2 linked regions of the Saccharomyces cerevisiae S288C genome follow. Changing the gene in region 2 together with the main gene of any one other region gives a genetic interaction. Each region holds a gene or a part of one and is shown on either strand. Other genes may lie near its edges.

Region 1 (2,893 bases), on a different chromosome or scaffold from region 2:
TTGCAATCTTTATTAGCCGCAGAATACGGTCAGCAATCCAAAACAGTGCACACGCCATTATCCATTCACCCCATCCAAGTTTATAGCAATGTTTCCAGCACGCATGGAAAAATCCTATTGCTAAGATAATGTGCGTAATAACAAACAATTCGTAATAATGTCGTCTAAAGAAGAAGAACGAAAAAAACACAAGTATTCCAACAATGATCATGGCATGTCTTCCGGATGTCCATAGATCACTATACTTCACGTATTTCCAGTAATTTTCTATGTATGCATGGTAGGTGTATCCTATTGCATGGATCGTACAGTCTACTAACATGAATCTTCCTAACCATTTGTGGTAAGTAATGAATGCGGTATATCTTATACCTGTGAGCCAAGTCATTGTGCTGTTTTTACCGCCAAAGAGAACTATCAAAGGAAAATGTGCGAATGCCAGGATCCCTGCCCTGTCGGAAAGGAAGATAAGCACTTGGCTTCTGCGATCACTGAGCAACTCATTATGGTCAAAATTGTAACTACTCAACAAGAACCCGTGCAACAAAACGTAACCGAATAGGACAAGGGTCTCTAACCTGGTAGGGACCAGACCGATGAAAAACCACCTTCCCACTGACATAGCATGGTTATGAACAAGCGCTGGAAGAACATAGTGGCCTCTTAAGAAAGCAGACACCTTGTTTTTGAACACCGTTTGTTTAAGTCGAGAAAAGTTCAAGAAGTGATATACAGCTGCAATAAACAGAACTCCTATCCAGTATAAGCAAATCGTCACTCCATAAACATTTCCTTTGTCTATATTATCCAGGGGCCCAAAATAAGCCCATACCCACCTATCTAGAGAGGCTTTATTGGGAGTGACGGGATATCGTATGTTTTCCTTTACCTCATCAAGAGGCCGGATGAAAAGGGATGCATTGGCAAAAATTCGATAATACTCCTCATTGCTGACGACCTCATCTTTGTGATAATCGTGGCAATACTGATTAATTTTGCTAAACGTTTTTTCGAATATTTTTTTACTTTTCTTCCTACTGTCGAGAACATCCTTCGCGCAATGTAACCAAGACCCTAGTGCTGGTTCATAAGTGCAAAGAGTAGCGTGCCGACCCTTCACATCCGTGTCAAATTTGTGTGATTCCAATTCTTTAGCACAAGCATCAATTGCTATCTGGTCCCATTGCGTTCTTTTCTTAGTTGATGCTGGTTTTGCTAAAGAACCTGGTGCCAAATACACCAACAGCAGCACTAATCTAGCGAAAAGCATTCGAAATCTGGGTGAATTAAATTAACTGCGACAAAATTGGTGATGTGACATACCGAAAACGCTACATTACACATTTGCCAAGTAAAAAATTGACGCTCCTTTTTTAATGATCGCTAATGTAATGAAAAGTAAAAATCCAATTAAACGAGGAAGCGGTAAAATATGATTGCTGTGTAGTAATGCCACAGTCTTCTTAGTCCTACCTATGTCCTAGATTTTTTTTTGCACCCTGTTTGTTCCGCACCCCGCTATCCCATATTTTTTGATGTATGTGAAGGAAAGCAATCTAAGGGCTCAAGAGCCGAGTTCCGCCATTCTAGGAAAGGGTGCAAAAAAATGGGGTTCAATTATCGTTCGAGATTTGTTATTTTTTTTTTTGTAAAAGTTGATTTATGGGGTATTTAAGCCAAGAACTATTTGAAGTATTAGGAGGTAATATGAATGTTCGAACAGATACAAACAAGTACTTCCACTCGCTTAAAAATAACTAATAACAATAATCCCTAAAATGAAATTCTCTTCCGCTTTGGTTCTATCTGCTGTTGCCGCTACTGCTCTTGCTGAGAGTATCACCACCACCATCACTGCCACCAAGAACGGTCATGTCTACACTAAGACTGTCACCCAAGATGCTACTTTTGTTTGGGGTGGTGAAGACTCTTACGCCAGCAGCACTTCTGCCGCTGAATCTTCTGCCGCCGAAACTTCTGCCGCCGAAACCTCTGCTGCCGCTACCACTTCTGCTGCCGCTACCACTTCTGCTGCTGAGACTTCTTCTGCTGCTGAGACTTCTTCTGCTGATGAAGGTTCTGGTTCTAGTATCACTACCACTATCACTGCCACCAAGAACGGTCACGTCTACACTAAGACTGTCACCCAAGATGCTACTTTTGTCTGGACTGGTGAAGGCAGCAGCAACACCTGGTCTCCAAGTAGTACTTCTACCAGCTCAGAAGCTGCTACCTCTTCTGCTTCAACCACTGCAACCACCACTGCTGAAACTTCTTCCTCTGCTACATCCTCTAGCACCGCTGAATTATCTAGTTACACCGGTGCTGCTGATGCCATCACCGCTGGTACTGGTTTGATGGGTGCTGCCCTTGCTGCCGTCATGTTATTGTAAATGATATGTGAATAATCATGCGGGATATCCGATTTTTATGAAGCACCTTGCGGCTTGGCCTTTTTTCGAAGTTATGTTAGAATAAAAAAATTTTAATAACACACATTAAGTATGTATGTATATATACTGTTTCAAGTTCGTTGGTCTTCCTTTAATTGTTTGAAACGGTTAAAAGTATCTAATTAAAATAAATATACCCGAAATCATACTAAAAAAATAGTTAATATTAATAAAAGTAATGATAATAATAATAATAACAATAATAATAATACGATGATGATGATGAAACGAAAAACTGCTACATTGAAGTCACTGAGAAACGTAATGAAAAAAAGTCCTTTTTACTAGCCTTTTGAAGGAGAAAGACAATTATATTAGCTTTTCATAGATAAGTTATAAATATGCTATACACGATAACTAATAGCTTTTTTCTGGTTTGAAACCGAGCTTATAATAGGTAAGAAATCAAACCAAGGGCCAATGCACCGACACTTGCTCCT
Region 2 (5,979 bases):
GAATTCCATTTGCGGAAGTGGAGGTGAAGGTGTTGGCTGTCGATATCCTGTTGTTTTGATTTGAGGCTTGGTCGTAGAAGATGAAGGAGAAAATACGGATGATCCCTGCTTCTTCGAAGTTAAAATATTATGCTTATTGTTCCCTACATTAGTAGAAGGCCTATGATTAAAAGCTGGGACCGAACCGTTGGTATATGTATTGGTAGAAGGTGCACTATTTGGTAATCTTCCATTCATTTTTTTCGGAGTTTCACCAGCGTTATTGCTTGACAAAACCCTAGGATGTCTTGAAGAAGGAGTGGAATTTGCACCGGGCCTATCCTTGGTACTACTAGGTATGCGAAAAGGTTTTTCTTCTCCAACATTATCGTTTTGTGGTGCATTGTTCTGGCTTCCATTTTTTGCAGTATAGCTGAGTGTTGTTACATTATTTCCTATACTCAGAGGCCGCTCTTTTCTTGAAATAGGCGGAGGTGATGATGGTTCACTCGATGCCTTACTATCAAAGGAAACGTTACTGATTTTATCAAGAATTTGCTTTTCTTCTAGTAGTTGTCTTGCTCTGAAAAAGCAATCGACCCAATTTTCATTGTTATTTATTGTCGAAGACTTCACGGCATTGAATGGTATTTTGGATAACGTTGAATATGAAGGTAGCGAGATAAACCATATTCTATTCTTATATTTTTCCAGGATTAAAAAACCCTTCCTTGTCAACTCATTGAATTCAAAATCGTACATGGACAAGTCTGTATCTTCTATATTAGCCATCTGGTGTTCTTTGTTTTCTTGATCATCATTTCCCTCCATAACTGTGTTTTTGTAACTTAACATTCCGCTCTTCTTCAAAGTCAATACCTGTAAAAACGACTCTGAGTTTTTTAATTCTTCTTTATGCTGCGCAACTAGTGACGTAATTAAATCATTATCGATCTTATTGTAGCTGTTCAAAGACATAGCAGGCCCTTCGTGTTCATATGGAATGCCATAAATGAAGACGTAGTCTTGTTTTAAAACATGAATATCAATTGAGTTTCTTCCATCTAAAGTGTGTGTTAAGTCCTGGTTCCTTATCTCTGTTGACGGCGCCGATAGAGCTGACGATGCTGACGATGTTGACAACTTTTGTGGTATTGATGATGTTTGCAAAGGTGGCACATTAGGCTTTGTGCGCGGAATTGACTTATTTCTCACGTTGTCATTAATTACCGGTACTTTGGGAGGTATTCTATTTGGTGCAACTAGTTGTGCTCGCTTGACTTGATTGGATTGTGAATTAGGCGGTAAGGCAATATTTGCAGTAGAATGTGCCGCCGTATTTGTTAATACATTGGTATCATTAGGGGCGGTCACTGCAGGCGTAGTGGACGGTACGGTGCCTAAATCATCCTTACCTGTTGATATACCAAGCCTTTTTCTCCATACTACTATGCTACTAGTAGTGTTGGAAATTTTCGTTGGTTTCTTACGTTTTTGTTTTGTGATTTGTATACTTCGTGCTGGAGTGTCAATTACATGTAATTGTCTGGTGGGTAGTATATTCTGCGGTATATTTGGGAGTCCCAAAGTAGTTTGTTGCAGCGATTGTCCTTGTGATTGCCAGATTCCTCTCCATATTTTGATTTTATCATTCCAATCTACTTTTGAAAAATATGGGTGTCTTTTTATCTGTTCGAGAGAGATTCTCTCATTGACCTCTATCACCAATATTTTTTGTACTAAGTTTATTACAAGGGGATTTATTGGTGATGTGCTATTATTGATGCGGTTATTGGGTCCCCATGGATAATCTAATGCTACGATTTTTTCAAATGTCTTCAGCTCATTCTCCCCTCTAAACGGCGGTTGTCCTTGGACAAACTGATATATCATGCAACCTAGTGCCCATATATCTGAGCCATAACCGCATTGGTTGTATAAAAGCAGCTCTGGAGAGACATATTCGGCAGTACCAACAAAGGAAGCGCAATTTTGGTTGTCTTTTGAGCCGTTGCTGTCAGAGTTAAACTTGGCCGAATCTCCGCTTAAACTAGGGTCTATGGTGGCAGCGGCCCCAAAATCAGTAATCATAAGTCTACCATCCCTGTCTAAAAGGACGTTTTCCGGTTTTAAGTCTCTATGAATGATGCCATGTGAATGGATAAATTCTAATGCATCAATTAACTGTGCAGTGAAATGACGCGTCCATATATCATTGAAAGTACCCATTTTGTGCAATAAGGAAAGTAGTTCTCCACCTGGGGCAAAATCCAAAACAAAATAAAGATTTTCCTCATCGTGAAAAGTATAGTATAGTTTGATTATACCCGCGTGATGCTTTTGTGCCAACAAATTCATGGTATTCTTTTCAATGGTGACATATTTTACCTTAGCTTCTTTGATTATGTGTTTCTTCGAACAAACTTTAATGGCATAAATTTTATTCGGGCTTTTTTTATCTAGAGCTTTAAACACAGTAGAGTAAGAGCCATGGCCCAGTTCCTCTTTAAATATGAAATCGTGCGGAGACCTTTTCCTAGACGTCATATGTCATACCAATGTCCCACACCTACTCTTTAAATTTTCACTCAATTGTTTCAGCCTCTGAATAGATAAGACGTGGAAGAACTGCTTACTTGCTTGGGTTAGGCTTTAGGCACTATTATTCTGTTTCCTCACACTTTCAAATCAATGTACCTCTCTTCTGCTGCCTTCATGAAAACCCCTTCGCTACCAAGAAATCACCGCGCGGGTAAGCATGAAAATTGTTTCGATCCATTGTTACCTCAATATGTGACATTAGCTGCGAGTAAGGAAGTTATATTGTTAACACTTTCAGTATCATCTCTAGTCATCAGTACGTGTGCTTGGGGTTGACCAATGCAGATATTTGTTTAGTGTATATAGGATTCGAAGGATTATAACGATTCTTTTCCTTTTTCGGCGAGAATCGATGGCACCTTTCTTTTTCTAAAATTTTTCAAAGCTCATCTCATCTCATTTTAAGCTAAGCGTAAAGCAAAATGACATTGACAATACCCAGCAGTTGCAACGGCTAGGTGTTTACACCAAGGACTTTTAATATATTCAAGTATGTCAGAATTACATGCTTTGCTTACTTTCCCAGAGAGGCCCATTTCTCAAAGTTACTATGTACCAAAACTGCAGCATTTCTTAAAATCTGGTATACCGGCTACATATACTTTGGAGCAGGTCGCAGCCTTCGAGCATGAGGAAAAGAACAGGAACGGGGATAAGGAATTCAGAGAGAGCACTGACGACAATAAAACCTCAAACACAACGCCGTTACACGTTTTAGCAAGATCGCTACCCTTGGATATCAAGGATGAGGAACTGCAAGTGGTGATGGATATGATGAATATTCTTTTTGAGTATGGGGCTGGATGGAATTTTATTGACTACGAGGACAAAACAGTGGGTGATTTGTTTTTAGAGAGAAATCAAAGTAGGGAGAGCCCTCTTTATAGACGGCTCGTGGAAGCTGGTGTGTCTGCTGAATTATTACTGAGAAAACTCAATGGTGGCGACGTCGAATTCTTGGATACAGATGAACTAATAGGTATCGAGCCTGAGGAAAGCGTTCAAACAGCAGTTGATGGTCAAAAAGAAGAATCAGTTGGTAGTGATGACGATGCTACCGCGGCAAATCAACAAGTGTACTTAAAAACAGAACTAGAGTACAAAGACGATGCGCTTATCACAAAGGAAAATAAGGACGGTGTTATGATGGATTGGGAAACCAAGATTATGGAACTTGCTTCCGAAACCTTATTTCCTGATCCAGAGGCCACTAATTCTGCTACGATCTTAAACATTGGATTTGGAATGGGGATCATCGATACATTCATCCAAGCTCGAAAACCATATCGTCACTATATTTGCGAAGCTCATCCAGATGTTTTGGCCAAGATGAAAATGGATGGTTGGTATGAAAAGGATAATGTGGTTATTTTAGAGGGAAGATGGCAAGATACGTTGAATAATTTATTAGACAAAGGTGAAGTTTTCTTTGATGGTATTTATTATGATACATTTAGCGAGCACTACCAAGACATATTGGACTTATACGATGTCGTGGTAGGTTTAATTAAACCAGAAGGCGTTTTCTCATTTTTCAACGGATTAGGCGCTGACAGATCGTTGTGTTACGATGTATATAAAGAAATTGTTGAGATCGATGTTGCTACATATGGTATGAAATGCGATTACACCAGATATTCTCTTGACGAGCAATTGCCAGATTGGAATGATGTTAAGCGGTCTTACTTTAACTGTAACTATTATTACCATCCACGTATCACGTTTGCTTAATTATAGAATAATGTAAATTGCACAATGGCAGGGGCCGATTTCCAATACTAATATTAGTTTCGAAAATCGGAAGAAAAAACTATATACATTTGCTACTTTAAGTATATATGATTATGCAGAAATGGACATATGAACTAAATTATGTCTAGTAACACCTCAGTGTAAAATGCTTTTCTTTCTCTTCTTCTTTGGTTGTAAAGAGGCTAACTTCTCCTCCCTGAACGACTCTTGAATATCTTTTTCAATACAGCGTGCTTTGTTAAGGTTATTCATGTTTACCGCAAGAATATTCAAAATCTCCTTGTCGTCAATCACAATCTTCGTGTTGTTTGCTTGCGTCTCAGTAGTTTCAAGGCGATCCTTGTACTTTTCTTGACTTACCTTTTCTTGAAATCTTTCTTCGATCCATTTAGACTTCGTTTCTGATTCTCCTTCCCCAAAAAATGCGTTCGCACGCTTTTTTAATCTAGACTTTACGTCATATTCCCAGTTCTTGGTGGAGTTCATCTCTCTCCATCTCCGTTTCCTCACATTGTTAATCTCCTTCTTTAGACAACTCAACTCCGCCTCGGTCAATCTAGCCTTGGCAAATTTTAGGACTACACTACGCTTACTTTGTACCTCTTCTGGAGATGGTATATCGAATGTGTAAGTAATGGATTCGCTGTTTGCCTTTCCATCGGCTTCCGGTGCGGTAGTGGCGTCAGCAGAAAGCTTTTTAATGCGGCGGACACGTTTAGCTTTGGTAATACATCTACCCGATGGAGGCACTAGTCCATCCAAATTCAAAACCTGTCTTGGTGTTTTTTTCAGGTATTTTACGTTTTCATCTTCATACTGGTAGTTTTTAACATCAGTGGCTGTGATTTCGGGCAGAATATTAGTGATAGTAGAGGAAAGAATGTCGGTGATATTACTTCCCAAATCAACGGATTCATTCTTTATTTCGGGTATTTTGGTATTTACCAAATTTTGAACTAAATTAATAACGCTAACTTCAGGCTTAATTTGCGGTCTTTTTAAGGGAAATATGATGGGAATTTTTGGTTTTGCTTCATTTAACGGTTTGAGAGAAACATCAATTAATTTGGGCTTTCCTGTTGTCGTGTTTACACTGTCTGGTTCATTACCCGTAAGTTGGGCTGCATCAGAATGCAATGTAGACTTTTCATCTCCATCTTTCTTATCAGACAGGCTCGCATCTTCATTCAAATCTGTAGCAATTTTCTCACCTGGCTTCTTTTTATCCGTTTTTTCGACAGGAGATTCAATTAATATCCTCTTTTCATTTTTTGGATCCCCATTTGTCTTGTCTTCAGTTAGAGTAACTTCCTCAGAAGCCTTGGTACCGACATTCTCCTTAATTTCTTGTACGCTTTGGGTTTCTTTCGCTGTTTCAACATTATTTTCCACAGGTTCTACGCTCTCTGCCCTCTTCGTAAGTTCTAGTTTATCTTGTGATGGTTCTATAGTTGAAACCGCTATACTAACAGGAGGAACATTCGCATCGCTGTCTTCTATTTTAATTGGCGTAGTAACGCCCTTTAAAGTATGCCCAGCGATTGTAGAATTAGAGTGGGGATCGGGCGTGGCTTTATCAGGGGATTCAGAGCTGCTGATTTCTGTTCCTGCACTTCTGGCCGGTAATTGTTTGTCTAATTGTTGTTT

The links. Genes that interact genetically often act in the same process or in processes that back each other up.
Region 1: mutations in RMT2 (region 2) and FIT3 together harm fitness more than expected from each alone (negative genetic interaction), as found in Saccharomyces cerevisiae (2 studies listed by BioGRID).

What each region holds. Positions count from the first base shown.
Region 1 is NC_001147.6:1,059,941-1,062,833, reverse strand, and holds FIT3 (Fit3p), read left to right. Parts: upstream 1-1,778; coding exon 1,779-2,393; downstream 2,394-2,893. Other genes in the region: FRE5 (putative ferric-chelate reductase), read right to left, coding at 1-1,270; FIT2 (Fit2p), read right to left, coding at 2,842-2,893. UniProt on the Saccharomyces cerevisiae protein: Involved in the uptake of non-siderophore and siderophore sources of iron. Has a role in the retention of iron in the cell wall and periplasmic space.
Region 2 is NC_001136.10:1,391,668-1,397,646, reverse strand, and holds RMT2 (protein-arginine N5-methyltransferase), read left to right. Parts: upstream 1-3,072; coding exon 3,073-4,311; downstream 4,312-5,979. Other genes in the region: protein kinase PKH3, read right to left, coding at 1-2,526; SPP41 (Spp41p), read right to left, coding at 4,468-5,979. UniProt on the Saccharomyces cerevisiae protein: S-adenosyl-L-methionine-dependent protein-arginine N-methyltransferase that methylates the delta-nitrogen atom of arginine residues to form N5-methylarginine (type IV) in target proteins. Monomethylates ribosomal protein L12 (RPL12A/RPL12B) at 'Arg-67'.